5 linked regions of the Cricetulus griseus genome follow. The protein of the gene in region 2 binds, or shares a complex with, the protein of the main gene of each other region. Links are inferred from orthologs where the notes say so. Each region holds a gene or a part of one and is shown on either strand. Other genes may lie near its edges.

Evidence for each region.
Region 1: the proteins of Eif4e2 (region 2) and Eif4ebp1 are in contact, whole or in part, in a crystal structure (PDB 5NVN), measured with the Homo sapiens proteins. The link is inferred for Cricetulus griseus from reciprocal best matches to the Homo sapiens genes EIF4E2 and EIF4EBP1. Residues at the interface, in NP_004837.1 of Homo sapiens: Glu53, His54, Pro55, Leu56, Gln57, Tyr58, Tyr64, Arg66, Lys83, Gln84, Ile85, Gly86, Val91, Glu92, Gln93, Trp95, Arg96, Phe97, Ser99, His100, Met101, Val102, Leu107, Phe113, Glu149, Asn150, Leu153, Gly157, Glu158, Gln159; in NP_004086.1 of Homo sapiens: Arg51, Ile52, Ile53, Tyr54, Asp55, Arg56, Phe58, Leu59, Met60, Cys62, Arg63, Ser65, Val67, Thr68, Lys69, Thr70, Pro71, Pro72, Asp74, Leu75, Pro76, Ile78, Pro79, Gly80, Val81, Thr82, Ser83.
Region 3: the proteins of Eif4e2 (region 2) and Tars1 are in contact, whole or in part, in a crystal structure (PDB 5XLN), measured with the Homo sapiens proteins. The link is inferred for Cricetulus griseus from reciprocal best matches to the Homo sapiens genes EIF4E2 and TARS1. Residues at the interface, in NP_004837.1 of Homo sapiens: His54, Pro55, Leu56, Gln57, Val91, Glu92, Phe94, Trp95, Arg96, Glu149, Asn150, Leu153, Leu156, Gly157, Glu158, Gln159, Met161, Val203; in NP_001245366.1 of Homo sapiens: Pro51, Glu52, Tyr53, Ile54, Tyr55, Thr56, Arg57, Met60, Tyr61, Ile63, Leu64, Glu67.
Region 4: the proteins of Eif4e2 (region 2) and Gigyf1 are in contact, whole or in part, in a crystal structure (PDB 5NVK), measured with the Homo sapiens proteins. The link is inferred for Cricetulus griseus from reciprocal best matches to the Homo sapiens genes EIF4E2 and GIGYF1. Residues at the interface, in NP_004837.1 of Homo sapiens: His54, Pro55, Leu56, Gln57, Tyr64, Lys83, Gln84, Ile85, Gly86, Val91, Glu92, Trp95, Arg96, Phe97, Tyr98, Ser99, His100, Met101, Val102, Arg103, Leu107, Phe113, Ile137, Arg138, Leu139, Arg140, Gly142, Leu143, Ser145, Arg146; in NP_001362694.1 of Homo sapiens: Leu36, Ala37, Asp38, Tyr39, Arg40, Tyr41, Gly42, Arg43, Met46, Leu47, Leu49, Tyr50, Glu53, Asn54, Lys55, Val56, Pro57, Glu59, Leu60, Glu64, Phe65, Ala67, Val68, Leu69, Gln70, Asp71, Glu72, Pro73, Leu74, Gln75.
Region 5: the proteins of Eif4e2 (region 2) and Gigyf2 are in contact, whole or in part, in a crystal structure (PDB 5NVM), measured with the Homo sapiens proteins. The link is inferred for Cricetulus griseus from reciprocal best matches to the Homo sapiens genes EIF4E2 and GIGYF2. Residues at the interface, in NP_004837.1 of Homo sapiens: His54, Pro55, Leu56, Gln57, Tyr64, Arg66, Asn81, Lys83, Gln84, Ile85, Gly86, Thr87, Val91, Glu92, Phe94, Trp95, Arg96, Phe97, Ser99, His100, Met101, Val102, Leu107, Phe113, Glu149, Asn150, Leu153, Leu156, Gly157, Glu158; in NP_001096616.1 of Homo sapiens: Leu38, Ala39, Asp40, Tyr41, Arg42, Tyr43, Gly44, Arg45, Met48, Leu49, Leu51, Phe52, Leu53, Asn56, Lys57, Ile58, Pro59, Asp61, Leu62, Asp64, Glu66, Phe67, Pro69, Ile70, Leu71, Gln72.

The regions. Positions count from the first base shown.
Region 1 is NW_023276807.1:56,590,386-56,594,617, forward strand, and holds the start of Eif4ebp1 (eukaryotic translation initiation factor 4E-binding protein 1), read right to left. Parts: upstream 2,901-4,232; 5' UTR 2,836-2,900; coding exon 2,694-2,835; intron 1-2,693. UniProt on the Homo sapiens protein: Repressor of translation initiation that regulates EIF4E activity by preventing its assembly into the eIF4F complex: hypophosphorylated form competes with EIF4G1/EIF4G3 and strongly binds to EIF4E, leading to repress translation.
Region 2 is NC_048595.1:438,858,655-438,862,824, forward strand, and holds the start of Eif4e2 (eukaryotic translation initiation factor 4E type 2), read left to right. Parts: upstream 1-1,235; 5' UTR 1,236-1,352; coding exon 1,353-1,372; intron 1,373-1,429; exon of another isoform or gene 1,430-1,838; coding exon of another isoform or gene 1,839-1,843; intron 1,844-4,170. UniProt on the Homo sapiens protein: Recognizes and binds the 7-methylguanosine-containing mRNA cap during an early step in the initiation. Acts as a repressor of translation initiation.
Region 3 is NC_048595.1:344,528,339-344,532,753, forward strand, and holds the start of Tars1 (threonine--tRNA ligase 1, cytoplasmic), read right to left. Parts: upstream 3,004-4,415; 5' UTR 2,881-3,003; coding exon 2,827-2,880; intron 998-2,826; coding exon 917-997; intron 1-916. UniProt on the Homo sapiens protein: Catalyzes the attachment of threonine to tRNA(Thr) in a two-step reaction: threonine is first activated by ATP to form Thr-AMP and then transferred to the acceptor end of tRNA(Thr).
Region 4 is NC_048597.1:116,448,730-116,451,916, reverse strand, and holds the end of Gigyf1 (GRB10-interacting GYF protein 1), read right to left. Parts: intron 3,123-3,187; coding exon 3,003-3,122; intron 2,828-3,002; coding exon 2,727-2,827; intron 2,588-2,726; coding exon 2,505-2,587; intron 2,426-2,504; coding exon 2,270-2,425; intron 2,191-2,269; coding exon 1,966-2,190; intron 1,725-1,965; coding exon 1,534-1,724; intron 1,440-1,533; coding exon 1,279-1,439; intron 1,198-1,278; coding exon 1,031-1,197; intron 964-1,030; coding exon 834-963; intron 745-833; coding exon 692-744; 3' UTR 556-691; downstream 1-555. UniProt on the Homo sapiens protein: May act cooperatively with GRB10 to regulate tyrosine kinase receptor signaling. May increase IGF1 receptor phosphorylation under IGF1 stimulation as well as phosphorylation of IRS1 and SHC1.
Region 5 is NC_048595.1:438,969,116-438,973,529, reverse strand, and holds the start of Gigyf2 (GRB10-interacting GYF protein 2), read right to left. Parts: upstream 2,883-4,414; 5' UTR 2,759-2,882; intron 1-2,758. UniProt on the Homo sapiens protein: Key component of the 4EHP-GYF2 complex, a multiprotein complex that acts as a repressor of translation initiation. In the 4EHP-GYF2 complex, acts as a factor that bridges EIF4E2 to ZFP36/TTP, linking translation repression with mRNA decay.

The sequences.
Region 1 (4,232 bases), on a different chromosome or scaffold from region 2:
GTGCTGGATTTAATTCACATGCACCAATTTGCTTGCTTAACAAAACAGCAGGTCATTACCATTGCCACCCTGACTGCTCGCCTGATTAACCTCACCCAGGCACTAATAGGTACGGGCACCCCAACAACTTCGTCAGAGGTCAAACATCCATCCTGGGCCTTTACTAGAAGATTCTGTTTATGGGACTGCTGACCATCTTAAAGACCCACATAGGACACTCCCCTCAGAAACGTCTTAGGTTCTCAGAATACCTAACTGGGTGGGCCAGCAAAGGGATAATGACCACAGGAATGGAGGAGGCTCAGGCCACCTGCTGTGTCCTGGCATTCTGGCCTCCCTCATGGCCTCCCCAAGACAACTGCTTCAAAGCCATCTCAGCTGAAGGGACTTAAGGCAATATTCCTTCATGAAAAGCTCACAGCCCCTAAGGGTCAATCACAAGCCAAGATGTACAGAAAAGCCTAAGTTCAGGAAATGCCAGCCTGACTTCATGCCTGGATGGAATCTACTTTGCCAGACTCCCAAAGACCTGAAAAGGCAAATAACACATGTATGGATGTCGCTTGTCCCTTTCACCTGGAAATCCTGTAAAATGGTTAGGCAATATCTCAGTCCTGCTTCAAGCTTATTGGCTATATACTCCTATAGATCCTGAGGACATAGCAAATCTCAAGGATATTAACATGGCCTTTGTCTCCCAGCCAGCCCTTGATATATGTAGAAAAATTCAAAAGTTAGATGGATTTCCAAGGAAGTACAGGTCAGAGCCATTAGAAACAGCCCAAAAGGTATGTAACAGTAAGGAAAGCCTGGATGGCCAGATGTGGTGGTGCACACCTTTAGTCCCAGAACTAGGAAGGCAGAGGCAAGTGGATCTTCATGCAACCCTGGCTGTCCTGGAACTCACTCTGTAGACCTTTGTACTCCAACTCCGTATTTAATTGGGGGTCTAAGTAATGAGAAACTCTGAAGCAAATGGGTCAAGCTTCTCCACTTTGGCAGAGAAGCCCTGGAAGGAATAGCCCTTGAAGAAGATCCAACTGTTTAGCTAAAGAACAGGCTTGTTGGCTTTGGCAGAAATGAGATAGACTCTCCTCAAGCTATGGGCTGTGTACCCCACAAAAAAAAAAAAAAAAAAAAAAAAAACACCCTGACAAAGGGCCAGTGGCTTTGGGACATCATGATTTGCCAACTTTGACACTTCCCAGTCCATAGTGTGAAGTGGATCTTCATACAAACAGTACTGTCCATCCGAAAAAAAAAAAAAAAAAAGGGGGGGGGGGCAAAAAGGGTTTCCCTGAGCCTTTAAGCCTGCCTCAGTGCCTGTACATAAAAAAAAAAAAAAAAAAAAAAAGATTCACGCCTCACCTGTAAGGACTCAACTGTCTGCCAAGTTTGTGCTTAAACACAAAGTTCTGTAACAAGACAAAGAAAGGGTGCAAGAGTGTGAACTAGAAGAGGCCAGGAAAGTTCTGAGAACTCCAGGAAAGGGAGACCAGAAGCCTGCAGAGTTTTCCCTGGGCCATTTCTAATGAAAGGGAGAATGCCTTCCCCGCTCTACCTGTTTGCTAGGAACACATCGTGACAATGCATAACAGACACGCGCTCAAAAAGGGGGGGGGGTTGTTCTGAAGACCAAGAGGCACAAACTGGACACTCATCTACAAGATCCCTTCAACGGCGCCTTGGTTCTGGGGTCTGGCTGTGTTCCCTGGTATAGGAACAGCTGCTTGAGAAAAAAGGCATGTGGCCTGGACGCGCCTGCAGTAGCCCAAGGTTCAGCGCAGCGCCAGGAACTCTCCTGTTTTTTTGAGTTGTAAGAGGAGAAGCTTGGGGGAGGAGATCAGGGAAGGGAGAAGCGCAAAATGGGTGGGAGCAGCTCGAGAATGGGAGGGAAGTAGTGAGCCACGAGCATTTCATCATGCAAACGGGCGTGTAGGTTTCATCAGCGCCTATACTGGGGCTCGGGGCAAGCTGGGAATGCCTAGTTCCTGGAGCCCGGCCCCGTCCCGCGCCAACTCAGCTTCCTCTTCCTCATCCTCCGCCACTTGGGCGAATTCAGCGTTGTGCCCTCCCCCCAGACCCGAGGAACGTGTTGTTCTGCACAGCCATGGACGCAGCGCCAGGCCCCTGTCTGGAGATCTCACTCTCTAAATCGGCTTCATGCCACAGGTGGCCGAGACGTGCTCCTGGGGCAGAGAGCACCCTCAACGCCCAGCCTTCATCAATAAGCGAGTGTCCCAACGCAAAACGAGGGTTGCCCGGGGAAGGTTAAAAAGTGTGCAGGCGTCCTTTATTCCAAGAGAGATCAACTAAACTTAATCTCCAGGCCTGGCCCTTCCCCTGCTCCACCCAGACCCCCATCCTGACCCACCCTAGAACTGTCGTGACACCCAGAGAGGCCTCACTTGAGCACATGGTAATCATGGCAGAGTGCCTATCTGTGTGCTTGGGGCACTCCGCGGTCTCTCCCAGGAAAAAGCGCGCAGTTTGCAGACGGGCCCCCAGACCACGCTCCACCACACCCAGCAGGCGGGCAACCGAGACGGTTACCCTCCAGCCTTCCTGACGCCCCTATCCGTTCTGTCCAGCTATGGAACCCTTGAGCGCCGCCACCCCCGTCGCACGTGCGACTCCGGATCCCGGGGTGCCCTCCTGCCCTGGAGGTCGCCCCAACCCCGGCCCGCGCCTACCTCCTGGGGTGGTGCTGAAGAGTGTGCCGCCCGGGGTGGTGCTATAGTCCCCGGGCGGGAGCTGCACGCCGTCGCCGAGGGCTACCCGGCGAGTGGGGATGGCCCGGCTGGGAGTCTGGCTGCAGCTGCTACCCCCAGACATGTCTCCTACGTGCCGCCCACGACCCTCCAGCAGCCCCGCGGCACCTCGGCCCAGCCCTTCTCCAGCCCGGCCCGCCCCTTCCGCCTGGGCTCCACGCCCCCTGAGACTTGAGGTCCGCCCGGCCCCACCCAGCTCCAGCCCGCTGCATGCAAGTTGTTCCCAGCTGCTGACCTAGCGGCTTCTGCCCTCTCCAGTGCGGGAACCCCAGTGTTGGCCCCTTAGGTTCCGGGGTCCCTCCCCGACGCACTGAGAAGAGCTATATAGGGGTGACGTTGGAAAAGCTCTCCGATTTGGTGACCGCGTTTTCGGCGCACTAGACGGCCTGCTTTCTATATTAGGATGTGATCTCTCGATCCCCAGCTGTTCCTACTAGAAGAAAGTAAGGGTGGGCTGATCCTTCGCCCATCTTAACGCTTCTTTCGTTTCCACTGTGCTGTAGGAGTCAGAGCAGTGGCTGAACAATGCGCATCCCTGGCCTTGAAAGGAGTGGTGGACTAAGAGGGAACTAGCCAGCCAGCTGGAAACTGACTGTAAATCTGATGTGGCAAGATCGGACCTCTGTAGAGGATGGGCTGGTCAAAGACGTTTCCCCAACAGTCCTCAAATTGTAGTCTATTCCAACACTTTGGTAGGGAGGGGAGGGGAGTGGCAAGGAGGACCGTCATGTCTAATAGGATAGAGAATCTATCAATCTCCATGTGGTAGGGAATGCCTGTAATTTCAGAACTGGGGAGGCTGAAGCCCTAGAAGGATCATGAGTTACAGGATAGCCCAGGCTTCTTAGTGGGACTACATCTCCACAAAGCAAAGCAAGCAATCAATAACAACCACAAACAGCAGAAAACTGAAGTTCAGAAAAGGACAGGGTTTTGCACAAGATCACACAGCTGACGAATAAATGCCTGAGGTCATACTGTTGAATGTATGCCAACCTTCGCTGGAGTCCAGGCTAGCCTGTCTCTCTCCACACTTGAGAACATACCGGGTCACCTTCCTCCCTTTGGGAGAAGCATTTTGAAAGGAGTTTTGCTTTTGACTTGTTTGGTTGCAATGGAGGCCCTAGATTTCCCAGAACTAAGATTCCAGGGAGGGCCTGCTTACAAAGCTCAACACTCAAGCTAGGTATGGTGCCACACACTTGTCCCAGCACTTGGGAGGCTGAGGCAAGAGGATCAAGGCTTCTAGCCTATGATACACAACAAGACCCTGTTTCAAAGAAAACAAGAAAGCTAGAACTGGGCTGTAGCTCACATAGTTCTAATACTGAAGAATCTGAGACAAGATAAATACCACAAAGTTGAGGCCAGGCATGGTTACAGTGAGTTTGAGGTACAGCCTGGGCCAGACAATGTGAGACCTTATCTCAAAAAGTGAGAGAAAGAAAGGGGGGACTTGGA
Region 2 (4,170 bases):
ACACCCTCTTCTGGCTTCTGCAAAACACACATGGGCATGGTGCATAGACGTATGTGCAGGCAAAACACACATACACATAAAATGAAAATAAACTTTAAAAAAAAAAGTAGTAGGAGCTAGGGGTGTGGAATATAAGTGTGGAATTTTGGATTTTTTGAGGCCCAGAACTAAAACAGTACATTTCAGCTCCCTATACCACAGCCTCAAAATACATATCTTCAGAGGTAACTTCCCATTCATTTGCTGTAATACCCCCCCAATTGATCACAAAAGATTTATCATCTTTTTCCATTGTTGGAAATTCTCACCTGATCCACGTTTCACATGAGCAAGTCCAGAAAAAGAGGAACTCTCTAGAACACTCCTTTAGGGTCCAAATTCCCATCTCTGATCGGATCTCAGAGATCTCAGATCAGTCCAACTCTGCAAACGCACCTTTTTTTGCCTCTCTTCTCAAAGGCCAGGGCACTTGGAGGGGGAGGGCTAGGGCTGGGCTGGGCTGGGCCTGACAGGAGAGCTTCCTCAGCTTCCCTTATACAATGTTATCAGGAAAATAGGATGGTCCCTTGAGGTCTAATTTGGGAGAAAAAAAAAAAAAACACAAAAAACAAAACATGACCTTGCTGAGTGACCAGGGGACAACCGTGGGCCAGTCCAGGGAGACCGTTTCCTGGCCTGTAAACACACAGGCATAATCAATTTCTGCCTCTCCACTTCTAACAATGGGACGTGTTCAGCAGCAAATGGATCAGAAATGCACAGCCGGTGGATTTGGAGATCCATTACCAACTAGGGAATTTTTTTTTTACTGCTGTGATGTGTTTGGGACCGTCGTTAGGAGTGTGGGGGCAAAGCCAAACCCTCTGGGGTCTCGGTAAATTTAAGTGTGTCACCGTAGCGGGGAGAGTCTCATGTATCCCAAGCTGCCTCAAACTCTCTGTTGGTCAGCCTGGTCTGGATCTTCCTGCCTCCACTTCCCAATTTGTTTGGAGTGGTTTCTCGTCCTCCACAAACATCAAGAACAAAGGATCAGCTCTCAGAAATGAACACTTGGTACCATTTACTATGCTGCCATTTCCCCTGGAACCCACGGGGAGGTTAAAGCAGATGGCCGGCTACCACAGCGCTCAATGCCTCACGAAGGCGACGGAGAGCAAGCAGGCCTTGGGCAAGCCGGACCGCGACTGGCGCAGGGACTGGGTCGCCCGTCAGGGAAAGAAGTCCCGCGCCCGGCCTGCGCGCCAACGTTCCGCTGAGCGGCTCGACAACCGGAAGTAGCCGGGCTCTTGACTCAGGGACCGGGCAGAGCGGAAGTCACTCCGTGAGGCAGTGGCGACAGCGGCGGCGAGAGGATGAACAACAAGTTCGACGCGTGAGTGGCGCGTGGCCGCCCCCGGGGCCCCTTCCCCCAACCGTCCCCCGGGACCGCTCCCGCCGGGGCCGGGCGCGCACTCAGCCGAGCCGCTCGCTCCCGGCCGCCGCGGCCGAGCCTCCCTGCGCCCGCGCCCGACGGGGCCGGGAGAGCGTGGCCGAGGTCGCCGGGACCCCTGAGCCGCTGGACCCCGGCGTGGCGCGGGCCGGGGGAGGGGAGGCCGCACCGCCCGGAAGGAGATTTTCGGACGCCCCGCCCTGGTGGGTGCGGGCTGCCGGCGGCGTGGAGGGGCGGGACCTCGGCGCTTCGGGTGTTTCCGCAGCCTTGCTCCCTTCTTTCTGAAGCGGCTTCCCTCCCGCACCCGCTCTGCGTCCTGGGAAGGTCACCTGCCCCTTCTGAACCTCGGTTTTGTCTTCTGCAAGCGGGGACGGTAACAGAGCCCGTGTCGTAGCGTTGGGCAGCTGCGATGAGGTAATGGGGCAGCCGCGCTGAATACTGTGGCCTCTTGAGTACGGAATGCTTTTCATCCGAGATTCTTCCTGCTTCCTTCCCATCCCCCAGCCACCCACCCACCTACCCACCCACCCACCTCAGTTCCTGTTTTCCAACTCTTAGAGACTGCCCACTCCTGCATTCTTTTCAAGTACCCACTCCCATCCCTAATTCCCGAATCGAACATTTAGGAAGTACAGACAAGAAATATTGAAGTGTTTGGGGGGGCGGGCATTCCCTTTTAACCAGTATATCTTTTTGCATTTAAAAGTAATTTTCGTTTCGTTTAACAGCACTTAAACAATTGTATCTTTCAGTAGTGCTCCTTTTTGTAGTGCACCTTCCTCTTTCATTTCAAAGACTACATTTTTTAGTTTTAGGCCCACCAAATGTTTGCCAGTACAAAAGCTCTCCAGTATGAACTATTGCTCTAACCTCCCTAGTGGTTAGAACCCTCCTGGAAGGATCAGAACACACTCTACAATGCTGAGAGGGACTTTTCTAAAATGCCCATAAGGAGGTGTGAAGGTAGAATGGAACCACCAATAGGTGGTGAAGCTGCGGTTTTTCTGATGTGTATACCCAGGAAGTACTGGGATTCCAGCAGTAAAGGTGGCTCGTGACAGGTTTTCTTGATGGCCGAGTGAACTCTGCTTCTTGAGAAAAGCAGATGTCCTCCATCTCGGCTGCTTTGCTGAGCACAGCAGCAGGATAGCAACCCCTTTGGCCTCCCATCCTAAGCCCTGCAGTACCCAGCCCCGCATCGGCAGCCCTTCCACCCTTCCTCTCCTTATTTGAACAAATCAAACTGAATCCCAAGAAGATAGTTTTTAGGTCATCTGTCTCGAATAAAGGTAGTTATAATGACCACTGTCATAGACACTATTCTGTTGCTGTGAAGAGACACCATGACCAAGACAACTCTTCCGACTTGTTATCTCCAAAAAGCATTCAAATATGTGAGCCTATGTGGCCATTCTAACCTGCCCAGCTACCCACAGGCATCTCTAGGTACTTCTTTTTTAGGTTAGCATAAAGTTAACAGGTTCTGTTATGACACCTTCATACTTATGTATCATTACTTCATTCTCATTCTTTCCTCTACTGTACTCCCCCAGGGTCCCTTTCCTCTGATTCCCTTCTAGTTGGTTCCCCCCTTCTGCTTTTCTATTATATTGCCCTCTGTTTCCCACTATTTTCTTTATAACTCTGCAAAAGAGATCTTTATATCTTTTCTTACAGTTAAGGGAAATGAGGCTCTTCAAGGCTAAGTAACCAGTGCAAGATAGCCTAAAGGGCCAGCTCAGGTTTGCACTTAACTTTGTTCATGAGTGTCTTTATCAACATTTTTTGGGGGTGGTTTTAATTACTTGTAACTATTGGCTGTTGTAAAGAGTAGGGTCTTTTTAATGCCTGCAGGAAAAAAAAATAAGAGTAGTTTCATTTGAAATTAGCAATTAAAGATCATACCCTTGCCCCTAGTGTTGATTTTGTCATTTCACAGTTTCATGTGAAAAGCCTGCAGTTTGTAGACTGTTGTTCCATATTTGGAGTCTGCACTCTTCATCACATCTCCCTGAAACTTTTTAGCGTCATTCTCAAAGTGCAGTCTCCAGTGAGTGCTGTAGTATGGGCACAGATTAATAAGGAGCTCTGACCTTTAATATATGGGCTCTGCTTCTGTCCAATGTAACCAAAGCTGGTAATGGCTTTAAAGGGTGCAAATTTGCTAGGTCTAGTTGCCTTTCTTGTTATTAACATATAAAACCCTAAGATGGTCTCTCAAGAACTACAGCACCAACTGTGGTAAACTTGGTTTCCAGATCCTGCATTTTTGGAGGCCAGGATTGGTCTGGTCAGTTTTATATGGTCCTTTTCTGTCGTAAGCTTTTGGCCCATTCATAAGTGTTTCTAAACCACCCAATTTGATATCATTTTGATTTTGGAGATCCATTAATTAACCGTGTTTGTTTTATGTTTGTGTCTGATGCTAGAGATCCAGTGGAGAATTAGATCAAGTTCCTACCTGTACAGAATTAGCCCACTTCAGAAGGTGTTGGGAAATACCTGGACAGAAGCTTGGAGAGCTAACCCAAGTGTCACTTAGACTGGACATAAATCAGGCAGCTTGAGTCTGGAGTGCTGCTCTTTCAGTGTGACTTTACCTTGGCTCAAATCCAGCTGCAAGCCTGGGAGAGCAGCTTCTGAAAATTAGGTTGTAAAACTTTTGCCTTAGGTGTAGGTGCAGAGAGCAGGTTATTTACATGACTTCTTCAAGAAATAAAAGCAGTCAGGGCACAGTGGTG
Region 3 (4,415 bases), about 94 Mb from region 2:
ATTGAGTCACTTCAAAAAAGCTTAAGTGTTTTGTGTTCCTACATCCCAGCAGCTTTTCAAGGTCCCCAATAAATCTGCAATGACTAAATGCAAAAAGCAATGCACAGTTTATAGCAGTTCAAATTCAAAACCAGCAGAACAACATGCAAAAACACCTCTTCAAGCACCAGGAACCAACTGCATTCTGGGATGGCTTTAAACTGCCAGTTCTGAGTCACTGAGCCCAGCAACTGAACAATTTTCTGGATATAAGTATACCAGACCCCAGAAGCAGATCCAAGCAATAAGAAAGGGATCAAGGAACTGGATTCTGTTTGGTTCTTTATGTACTTGTAGGAACCTAACACTGAGCCCTTACCCATTCACACCTCACTTAAAAAAATGGAAAGTCAACATCCAGTCTTGGCAGCCTAGTGACAACTGTAGCCCTTCCTCGATACTTTTGATCTCTCATGTTTCTATCTAAATCCACTGTGACGTCATCTTACAATAATACACTTGTCTGTCTGCACTGTCAAGTACTTGCAAATCCTTTTTCACTCTCCGACACTTTTCTAACTCGTCTTTCTTTGTTTTCCACCTAGTACTACCTTACTGCCTTCGGTGACCATGAGAACCCTTACACAGGGGCCACCAAGTGTAATATCTGAACTCTATCCTCAGCACCCAGAGTGGAGAAGGACTGCATTGCATACCAGCTGCCCTCTGGCTTCTACACGTGTGCCATGGATACACACACACACACACACACACACACACACACACACACACACACACACAGAGTCTCTCTCTCTCTCTCTCTCTCTCTCTCTCTCTCTCTCTCTCTCTCTCTCTCTCTCGTTGGGTAAGTTCAGGACAGCTCCTTGTTCCCGCTAGCCTGGGAAACCCAAGCCTCTAAAGCGGTAGCTTGTTTTACCTCTGCTCGACCTCCATCTCCACCTCCATCTTTGTTCTTCTTCTTGCCTCCTTCCTTTCGCTTCTCCTCACTGACATCCACCTAAAGAAGCAAAAGAGAAGTTCTCATATTCCAACCTAATTTGACATCTTCTCCAAAACTGCAGCTAAGAAAGCTATTATCTAAATAAATAAAAAAATTAAAAAGGACAATCTTATTCTGAAAGACTAGAAATTCCATCACTGGTAAAAACAATTTAGACAACTTGCAATAAAAAGAAGCCCTAAAAAAGTAGAAGGCTACTTATGGATGTACACTTTAGGCTTGGACCTGTAGTAAATACAAAGCAGCAAGAAATTATACAATTTAGTCAATATGAGTTATTTCAGGGGCAGGGGAATATATTATCTACCTACCTATTCAGCCCGAAGCATCTCCAGGGAGCCTAAGTGGGCTGTGTGATCACACTTGTCAGTTCACTTCTAGGTCCAGTTTTCCCTCTTGTGAACTGGGTGTAACTATTTTATTTAACATGGCCTTGTGAAAATTAAATGTGAAAGGCATAAAAGGTTTGGCCTGTGGAGCTGGGGATGCAGCTTAGTGACAAAAGAACTTTTGGGTTAGATCTACACCCCACCAAGTAAGCTTTCCAAAATTTAAGATACCTGATTATTATGGAGGCAATAATACCACATTTTACATTTCAATTCATTTTACTCATAAAATCTCTAATGTTTTACTACAAGCCTGCTCAGGGAGTGATTATCTTGGCTAACTCCTAGCCTCATGTTAATCTTAAGAACCCAGGGGGACCCTGAAATAAAAGAACTGGGTTTAAGAGTAGGATTAAAGGACAGTCTGGAAAGGAGTAAAAGGGTAACCAACTTGTAAACGGTAAAATACCATTTTTTAATGGAAACAATATCTATGTGTAGTTATCACTCATCACCTTAAAACTGTAGTTTAGACTGTATACATAAACATTTTACGTCCTGGATGGAAATTCCTCTTGTCGAAGACCTTAGAGATGTTCACTTGGATTACCAAACATCCTCTGTCATAGGGCCTCAGCTCTCAAACCTCAATGCCAAGTCAGTTTTGACAATACAGTTCATATACAGCACCTTCATGATTAAAACCCTGCATGTAGAGAACACTAATATCTTCGATCTCTATTTCCTGTTTCTCTCCTGTCTCTTCCAATGCAGCTGAAACACAACTAACCCCCTGTATCTGGACAGCCCTGTCCCGCCTACTTTTCCAGACCTCATTTTTCTAAATCCAATAAAACAGTCCTGGCCGTACGAAGTTCGGTGCTTCCTCTATATCGCAACTGAGCTGATCACACAGAACTTCAATTTTCCAGTCTTGAATTCTACGCCTCCCACCCCCCACCCCCACCCCAAAGTCAGGTAATCGATCTTATTCCTGTTGCCACCTGCGCTGTCCGGCTAAACGCCAGGACAAACAAATACACAGAACATTTGTTGGCTTTCAGGAGGGCGCGTGTGAAGTTATCTAGGACGCTTCCAGCACCCAGCCTAATTTCCAAGCAGTCTGTTAAATGGAGCTATCTAGCCTTCACCATTTGCACCCAATCTTGGTCAAACTGGATCTGGTCTCGAGGACTGTCTTTCCCCTCCTAAACTAGAGCTTTCTGCTCCACAAAAGTTTAGGATTTTTAAAGTTCTGCAATGTTCTTCCCGCCTATCTCGGGGACACAAATGTGTGGGAGTCCAAGCCCTCCACGTTACTGTGTAGCTCTGAGCGAGCTGGTCAGTCTCAGTCCACACACAGATCTCTGGGAGAGGACGACCCCCGGGCCACTCCTGCCTGCTGGGGCTCCCCAGTACCGGCAAGACCCTGCTACTGTCCACTCCCGCCGGGCAATGTCGGTTCCCAGGGCACGTCCAGCCACTGCGCCTGCTCACCGGCTTCTCGCCGTCCATCTTCCCTGAAGGGCTGCTGGCCTTCTCCTCCGACATGGAAGGACCGCTGAGAGAGACAAAACCCGAGAGCTACGCCGCACAGAAGAGCCCAGGGCGGCAGAGAAGACCAGCAATTCCACACTGCGCGTGCGCCACGTGGCCTTGCCGGAACCAGCTGATGCAATGGGGCGCCAGGCCCCGCCCAGCTGCGATGGACGCAGGACCAATGGACCACGCAGAGAGGCGGGCCCTCACTTTCCTCAGCCAATAGAATGGCTGGAGCATTGCCGAGCCTTTCTAGGAAATCCGCAAGCGCCCTCCTGCCCATCTGACTTTCTGTCACCCGCAGGGCCTTAGCGGCCACCGTACTGAGTGCGAGCGGCTTCGGCGGAGTTTCCAGGAAGTAGTGGGCAAACTGGAGATGGTCTCTGGCGCTTTGGCTTGTTTCACATGCCCTCTACCTGGCCTGTTGGGTGGCTGCGACGGTCTGAAGCGGTGACTCAAGCCTTCCTCGTGGGAACGAAACCGGTTTGTTTTTGGGGAGACAAGCGCCATTCTTCAATCATTCCTCAGTGCATCACGAAGCTTTTCCTTAGAAGGCGCACAAATAAAGTTAATTTCTTATTTCAGGAAATAACTTCTGATTCCACACGGAAGTCATTTGTGATCGGGGGCTCGAGATTAACTGCTTCTTATTTGAGCATCTGTGCTCTAGTCGGACCGCGTACCCTAATAGCAACCACCGCGTGGTTTGTTGTTTGTTTTCCTCACTGTGTAGCCAGGGATAGCCTCAAACTTTCAATAGAGACCTGACTGATCTGGGAGCTTTTGCGGTAACCACCCAAATTCTGGGATTAAAGGAGTTTGCCATCGTGTGCACCCTAAACCACCACCACCCCTTTTTTCTCTTTCCGTTTTTGGAGACAGAGTCTCACTGTGTAGCCCGCTGTCCTGGAGCTATGTAGACCAGGCTGGCCTCAAACTCACAGAGATCCACTTGCCTATGAAAAATAGGTCCTAAAAAACTTCAACGATTATCTTCTTATTTCTAAGGAACACATTATCCTCCAACGTATGTTATAAATTTGTGAAACTGCATTTGTCCCTCTCTTCTTATTTTTCAGCAGGCTACCTCTGCCATTTCTGAGGATACTGACATGCCACTGACTCTTCTCCACATCCCAGTCTCTATGAAAACTAGCTTTCAGGAATTTCTTTTCACTGAATAAATGACAACTAGATTTAAATATGTTGTTTTACCTAAGCCCCAAAAGCTTAGGGTTAGAGTTTTCTGGAATTCAGCACTACTAATATTATGCCAAAACAATCCTCTAACCTACTCAGAGTCAATACTTTCCTTCTCCCAATTGTGATAACCAAATACTCCAATAGCCATTACCTAACATCTCACTGGACTAAAAAATGACTCAGCCGAGAACATTAGTGTGAAGGACTAGGTTCCAGATGTGCAATCTTTGAGCAAAGGAAAACTCTACTAGAGGTGCTCTTAAGCTATCGACCCTGAGTGATTGCCGATAAAGGAGAGACCCAGTTTTCTCTGCACGGTCAGATCGTTTTCTCTCCTAGCAAAT
Region 4 (3,187 bases), on a different chromosome or scaffold from region 2:
GCAACCTTCCTCCCAAGCAGCTGAGGCAAGGGGTGACTTTGGCCCCCTTACCAGGACACCTGCCACAGTAACCACCACAGGGAGCTGTTCACAGCAGGTCCAGTGGGCAGCGCTTCTGGAGAGGGCCTCGCTGTGTAAACTGCCAGCACCCATCTTCCAGTCACCCCAATGACCACCTTCTGGGGGGCAGCAGCAGGGTAAGTGCAGCCTTAAGGGGAGCCAGGCAGGGCAGTTCCATAGGGCATGGTACCCACTGCCCCAAAATAACAGTGTGGTTCCCCCCCCCCATTATTTTTCATCTTAACCAAAAAAAACAAAACAAAACAAAAAAACCCAAACAAAAAAAAAACCCAAACCAAAATAAAGCCTCTGTGGACCTTCCAATGTCGCACCCATTATCCCCAAAGGGGTGAAGGGGCCTACAGTCTAGTTTTTGAATGATACTTTTGTCTCTCCTAACGTTGAAAATGAAAGAGAAAAAAAGAAAGCCCCTCCCCGTGTGTAAAGTGCCTCGTGGTGGGTGAGTTAAGGTGCATCGTGTGGTCTGTAACAAGTGCCGGGGACCATGCCCCACTTGCTTCCTCCTTTGCTCCTTGTTGGGAGCCCGCAGGCTGGAGACCCAAGGGTCCATGCTGCCGCCGCCTCCCTAGCCTCCCAAGCCTCCAGCTCGGGGGCTGATGGGACAGGCTGGTCAGTAGTCATCCACGCTCTCGATCTCACCGGAAGGGCCATGCAGGGAGTACCCTGAAGCCAGGGGAGAAGTGAGGGTGAGCTCACTAGGTCCTGTGCAGCCTGTGCAGGGAAAGCAGGGCTCCCCAGCACCCTCTACTTACCCAAGATGCTGGGGTCTGAGTGAAGCATCAGTGCCCTCCTCTTGGCCTTGCTGCCCTCCCCAGGGCCCAGTTTGGTGCTGTGGTTGGCCTGAAAGGCTGTCTGTAGGGAGGTGCTACTCAGCCAGGCCTCCTAAGGCAAAAGAGTGGAGTCAGGAGAGCCCTGGTGCCTTGCCTCCCTAGGTCCCACAAGACTCTACCTGCTGCTGCTGCTGCCTCTGTTGGCTGGCTTTCTGCTTGGCCCTCCGCTCCAGGAATTGTTTGGCAAATTCTTTGGCTTCCAGCGTGTCCCCCAGGCAGGAACGGATATAATCATGGACATCATAGGGGGACTCCACCTCCTTGAGGATCGCTACAGCCATGGGCACTATGGGGAGGGACAGTCAAACATGCTGGACAGGTCTAGAGTCCCCAGTGCAAACATGACCCACAAGGACTGCCTTCCTACCATCCAGGCTGCCTGTGGTGCTCAGGGTGTGTAGCATCTGCTCACACCACTGGGTAAAGCCATCCTGGGGCCGAGGGATGCCCTGCAGCAGCTTCAGCAACTTCTCTTCCTCTTCTGTCTTTTTGCGAACAGGTCGACCTGACAGGTGGCTGTATGAGTCACTGAGGAGGGTGGGGAATTGGAGGCCACAGATGAGCCCAGGAGCTTAGCACCCATCCCTCCCTGGCAGACCCCAGCTAAAAAGGTCTCACCCACCTGAGAGACGGGCTGCTCCGACTGTTCTTTAGGCCCAGGTTCCGGGCCAGGTTCCCGCCACTCTTGACGGTGTCTTCCCAGAGTCCCAGACTGCCACTGCTGCTGCCCCCACTCTTGTCTGGCCCGCCCCACAGTGGCCCAGCCTCAGACACCCACTGGTTCAGAGGGGCAGTGCCCAAGCCCCCAAGCTGCTGCAAATGGCAGGAAGTCAGGGGCTCGAAAATGAGCCCTGAACACCTAGGCAGGGAGGCTCTTTTGGGGGCTAAGGGAAGGGGATGAGCTAACGACTAGAGAGAGAGGACATCCTTCCAATAATGGAAAGAACCAGGTCTTCAGCTTTAGAGTCTACGCTTAGGGACACCCCCCCACCCCCCCACCTCCCTGAGTGCTCCTGGAAGCTTCACTGGTGTGGTTCCGGCCGCTGCTGCTTACCACTCGGTGGTTGGGGGCCTGGGCCCTCAGAGGCTCCCGGGGTGCAGGCTGCTTGTGGAGCTGCCGCTCACTTTCCATCTGCAGCTCCAGCAGAGTCTTCATGGATAGGCCCTGCTTGGCTAGGCCGGCCCAGAGTGGGGGAGGGGAGCTTGGCGCAGGGGGCACAGGGACACTTGTTGCTTGCTGCTGCTGTAGCAGCTTCAGCAGCAGTTCCTGCTGTCGCACCTGGGTGAGGCACAGTGGATGTTGGTGGCTGTCTGGCACCAGGCACAGGCCAGGTCCAGGAGACAGGTGGGACTTGTACCTGCTTGCGCCGGAAGAGCTCTTCCTCTTCCTGCCGCCGCTTTTGCTCCTCCTGCTGCTGCTGCTGCTGCTGGCGGCGCTTTTCCTCACGGCAAAGGCGTTTGCGCTCCTCTTCCTCCCGCTTTGCCCTGAGCTCCACTTCTCTGCGCTCTTGAAACTGCAGTGACAAGGACATTCGTTAGCTGGGAGGCTGCGCCTGCTTCAGCTGGCCTGCGCCAGGCCAGCAGGCTACTTACTTTATGTTGCAGCTGGAGTTGTTCTAGAATTGGACCCTGAGTCGAAGAGTTAATTGGTATGTCCCAAAGACTGGCTTCACCACCTGCAGAAGAAAGGCAGCTGCAGAGACCCAGACCCAGCAGAACCACCCGCAGATAGGAGGCAGAGCCACCAAGTGTGACAAGCAGAGACTGGGGGGTAAAGGGGACCAGGGTGTGGCATGGGGCAGGTTGGCCACTCACCTGACTGTGATGAAGCTGAGGTATGTAAGTCCCAGAGGGGGCCCGAATCTGGCACCGACAAGGACCGGCTCATCGTCGGGAGCAGGTTCTGGTCGCCACCCCTTAGAAGCAAACAACTGGCCCTCAGGACACTGCATTACCTGTAGCTTGACCTCCTCCTTCTCTACCTCACACCATCACACACACACCCCCTCCCACACACAGACAAACCCTCCCACACTCACCCCAACACTCACACAGACACCCCCCCACACTCACACACTTAGTACAACAGACCTGGGGGTTTTGAGAGCCTGGAGCTGCTGCAGGAACGCAGTGAGCTGCTGCTGCTGCGGCGGCGTCAGGTCCCCCATAGCTGCCTTTTCCCGGAGCGTCGTACACTGCGGGAGCTGGCGGCTACAGACATACTGGGCTCAGACGGTATTACCACGTACAACCACTGCCCTGCCCACACCAAGCCC
Region 5 (4,414 bases), about 110 kb from region 2:
AAAACTTCCAATTCTTTTTTGTTTGGTTTGGTTTTAGCAGTACTGAGGACTGAACTTTGTCATCAGGCATGCTAGCAAGGCAAGTGCTCTACCACTGAGCTTTATTCCTAGCTCTTTTGAGTCTCAGTGTCTCACCAAGTTACCAGCCTGAGTTTGCAGTGCTCCTACTTCAGTCAAGAAGCTGGGATACCCTCCTTTAAAGGCCATTCCTTTTGAAAGGTATTTCCAGGCAACTTAACACCAATCACATCTAAGAAAAACTTACTTTTAAAATAATTCATTAGAATTCCCTAAACATATGAACTGAACACCGAGTTTCCCAAATGTAAGGGAGGGAGGGATATTGGCTCAAGTCTATAGAATCCGGATTTTCCTTTTCCATAGAGCTCAGCATTTGGGAGGCTGAAGCAAAATATCAAGCTTGAGGCCAGCCTGGGTTACACACACAGACACACACACAGACACACACACAGACACACACACACACACACACACACACACACACACACACACACACACACACACAGTCACAAGGGAAAAGAAGAGATTCCACAACAGTGAATGATCTATCTCATTTTCCTACCAAAAGAGGTCTGTAGACACATTGCTATCAGTTTCTTCCTCACTTAAATCTCTCCAGGCTGGTCACTCTCATGCTCTTCCTAGCAAGCCCTTGATAGGTCCAGCCTAAATTTGGCTTTGTCTCAGGGTCTTTTGCCCTTTTTGACTCTCAGGCTGAAGTACCCTGCCTCTACCTATCAGGTGTTTCCTCAAATTTGAACTTACCTGTAAGTCTCCTCAGGTGACTAAATTAAAAAATTAACCCTTCCCACAACTCTTATACCCTGTCTCCCTATCTCTTTTTTTCTACCTGAGTTAGCAATATGTGGTACAATACTTCCTGGCACTGCTGGCTAGGAACAGAGAGCCACAAAATCACAATCCAGCCATACAATTATGAGAAGGAAATAATCAAGATTCTACAAGCGACTTTGCTGGTAAGATGGGCAGCAGGCTGACTGTATTAAATGCATTTTCAGCTTAAAATATTTTCAACTTTCAATCAGTTTACGTTAGGAAACACTTGTGTATCTTTACTTAAGTATTTAGATATCTAGAAATGACTCCACAGAAACAAATATTTTTGTCCTCAGCATACGACATAAGTACTTAAAGTTTGTCGAAAAATATATAGTCCCTACTTCCCCAGCCACAAAACCGTAAAATCCTTGACAAGTACCAAAACAGGTATGTATGGTCTTTTCCTTTCTAGCAGATCACTAACATCATATCAATGTTAACTTTTCAATGTTGGTGCTATTTTTCCAGATACCTGTGACTTCTAAATGTTTTTCTAGTGTCTTCTAATGTGACAATGAAGTATATACCCTAGTTTAAGCAATTCAAATGCTGCTACACTAGGAAAGCACCATTAAGTGAGGACAAAGTATGTGTTCTAACTAAAATTAAAAGGATGGAAATTGGGGGCTGAAGAGATGGCTCAGAGGTTAAGAGCACCAACTGCTCTTCCGGAGGTCCTGAGTTCAATTCCCAGCATCCACATGATGGCTCAGAACCATCCTCTATGAGATCTGGTGCCCTCTTCTGATTTGCAGATATACATGGAAGCAGAATGTTGTATACATAATTAATAAAATCCTTTAAAAAAAGATGAAAATTAATAAACAAAAAGGATGATAAGTTTTGTCATCTAGGAAGTCATTGTTCCTAGGAGAAACTACAGAAGACTACAGTCCCTAAATACAACACTCTGAGCCAAACTACCTATAATCCAATGGTAGGAAGCCATCCCGGATTGATGTCCCTTAATTTCTTATGTTATGTTGGACTACTTACCTTCCTAATAGAGCCACTAGGTGTGTTTAAGTGCTTTGACTTTCAAGAAAATGGGAGGTGAGGGGACACAGTGCTACTAGATAAATGCAAAGCAACGCTCCTGCTTCCCAAACGCGGTGACACAACCTGCTTCTCTCACAGCCTCCCTTCCCCGCTCACTTGACCGGTATTTCGCATACAAAACTCAAGTGTTCAAGAGTGCTTCGTGGGAAACTGCTTGCCCATTTCAACCCGGTGTGAACGAACATTCCGGTGCCCGGAGCTGCCCGGGGCTCTACTTTCCCAAGCCTCTCAGTCCCAGGATCAGATCCTGACTCCACCTCGCCTGGGGCCTGCTCCAGACCAGTTCTCCGGCCGAGGAAGCAGTCTTCCCGAGTCCAGATGCTCGGTGGGGAAGGCCAGGGCGCACCTCCCCGGGGCAGGTGCGGGCAGGAGCGCCGGCGGGAGCAGCTGTCGGCTCCCAGCAGCTGTTAGCCGGGGCACCCCGAGGCTGCGCGGGCGGCCGGCCCGCCGGCCGGCCCCGAGGAGCGGGCAGCGGAAGGCGAGCCCTCCGGCCTGACACTGCCCACCCCGCCTCCCGCCTCCTCTCCTCGGCTTCCCCCCGCGATGCCACGGGGGCGAAGGCCGGGGGCTGCCCTCGGCCGGGACGTGCCCGGCCCGCGGCGGCCCTCGCACTAGAGGAAGCTCCTGCCGACCCCGCACCTGCCCTGTCCACACGTCTGACGCCCCCAGCCGGCCGCAGCCGCTGCCGGGCAGCCTCAAGTGTGTCCATGCGGCCAGCTCGGGCCGGAACGGCGGGGACGCAACGGTGAGCGCCAGGCCACGGCGGCTCGGGGCGCCACGGCGGGGCCCGGGCGCGGGATGGCCGCGGGCAGGGGAGACACACCGAGCCACTGGTTACCTGCGGTCCGGGACAGGAGTCTCTCAGAACCCAAGTCAATCCTCAGCCTCAACAACACAAGATGGCCGACACGTCGCCACGCACGTCACGTGACCCCGCGCGCCGCCCCGCCCCCTGGCCCGCCTACGTCCCCGCCTCCCTCCCTCCCCGCACTCCAGCTTCCCACGACATCTTTCCCTTCCTCTGCGGACCGCCCCTCCGGCCGGGCACGCCCCTTCCCGAGACCCGGATGCAGGGCTGGGAGAGGGCGGAGCAGCGGCTGCGCAGGCGCACACTGGGGCCTTTGGCTAAAGCTCCAATCGGCCCTAGAGTTGAGCTGGTGGCCTGAGCTGGAACCCGCCCAGCCAGAGGCCCTTGTGACTCACTTCCAGTGCACCCAATCCAGTGCCCCTTTGCAGTACAAGAATCTCCACATCACTTGGGAGCTGGATTTCCAAGCTGCAACTTTTCCATAGCTTTTGGCCTAGCATTGTCCTGCCAGTTTGCCCATCATGGAGCAAATGGCGAGGCTGAAATTCAAAGCAGTTTCCCTTCTGGTAGAAATGGAAATTCATTTTAAAGTGTTGGAATGTGACAGCTGGAAAGTGTTTTAAAGTTCTGACTCCCTCCTACTCCATGCCGGCCTACCACCCCTTTATATCCCGTGCTCCGGTTTTAGGGCTGCTAGCTAAAGGATAGGAAACTCAGCAATACAGAAGACAGGAAATTATCGGCTGTCTTTCTGGAACCCATGTTTACCTGGACATACTACTAGTTGCTAAACCTGCTAGAGCTACCATCTCAAGTCATCATGGTCTTTCTGGCGCCATTAGTCTTTTCCTGCCCTGGATACCGCCTTTACTTCTTGGGATTAAAACAGGGCTTTACACTACCAGTGAACTACAACCTCCAGTCCTTTTCAACATAGCTCTTCCCATCAACTTTTTCCTTTTTTTACAAATATACTCACATGGCTTTACCTTAAAATTAAATGTTGATAACTGGAGTTTCAGAGCTCAGTGATAGAATGAATACATAGCCTGTTGGGAACCCTGGGTTCAATACCTGGAAACTTATACACACATGCCAACCTCCCTCTCTGACTCCCTCCCTGAGTCTTGATTCCCTTTCAAAGTCAAACTATATAAAAGGGTATTAAATTCAGAAGAGTAATGATTAATCTTGACTGTCAACTTGATGGGATTTGGAGTCACCATGGAAACAAATCTGGGCAAATTTGTGAGGAACTACCTAGATTATGTTAATTGATGCGGGAAAACCCACAGTAGGTAAAGTGGGAAATACCATTGCATGGGCTGGGGTCCTGAACTGAGTAAAAAGGAGAAAGCAAGCTGTACAGAAGCATTCAAAGAATTCATTATACTCAGCTTCCTAACCTTGGATGCAATGTAACTGGCCACATCAACCTCCTGCCATCATGACTCCCCAGCCAAGGTGGACTATACTCTTGAACTGTGAGCCAAAATAAGCTTCTCTCTCTCTCTCTCTCTCTCTCTCTCTCTCTCTCTCTCTCTCTCTCTCTCTCTCTCTCCTTCCCTTCCTCCCTCCCTCCCTCTCTGTGGTTTTCAAGACAGGGTTTTTCTGTGTAACAACCTGGGATGTCCTAGAACTTGTTTTATAAACCAGGCCTGCCTCAAACTCACAGAGATCTGACTA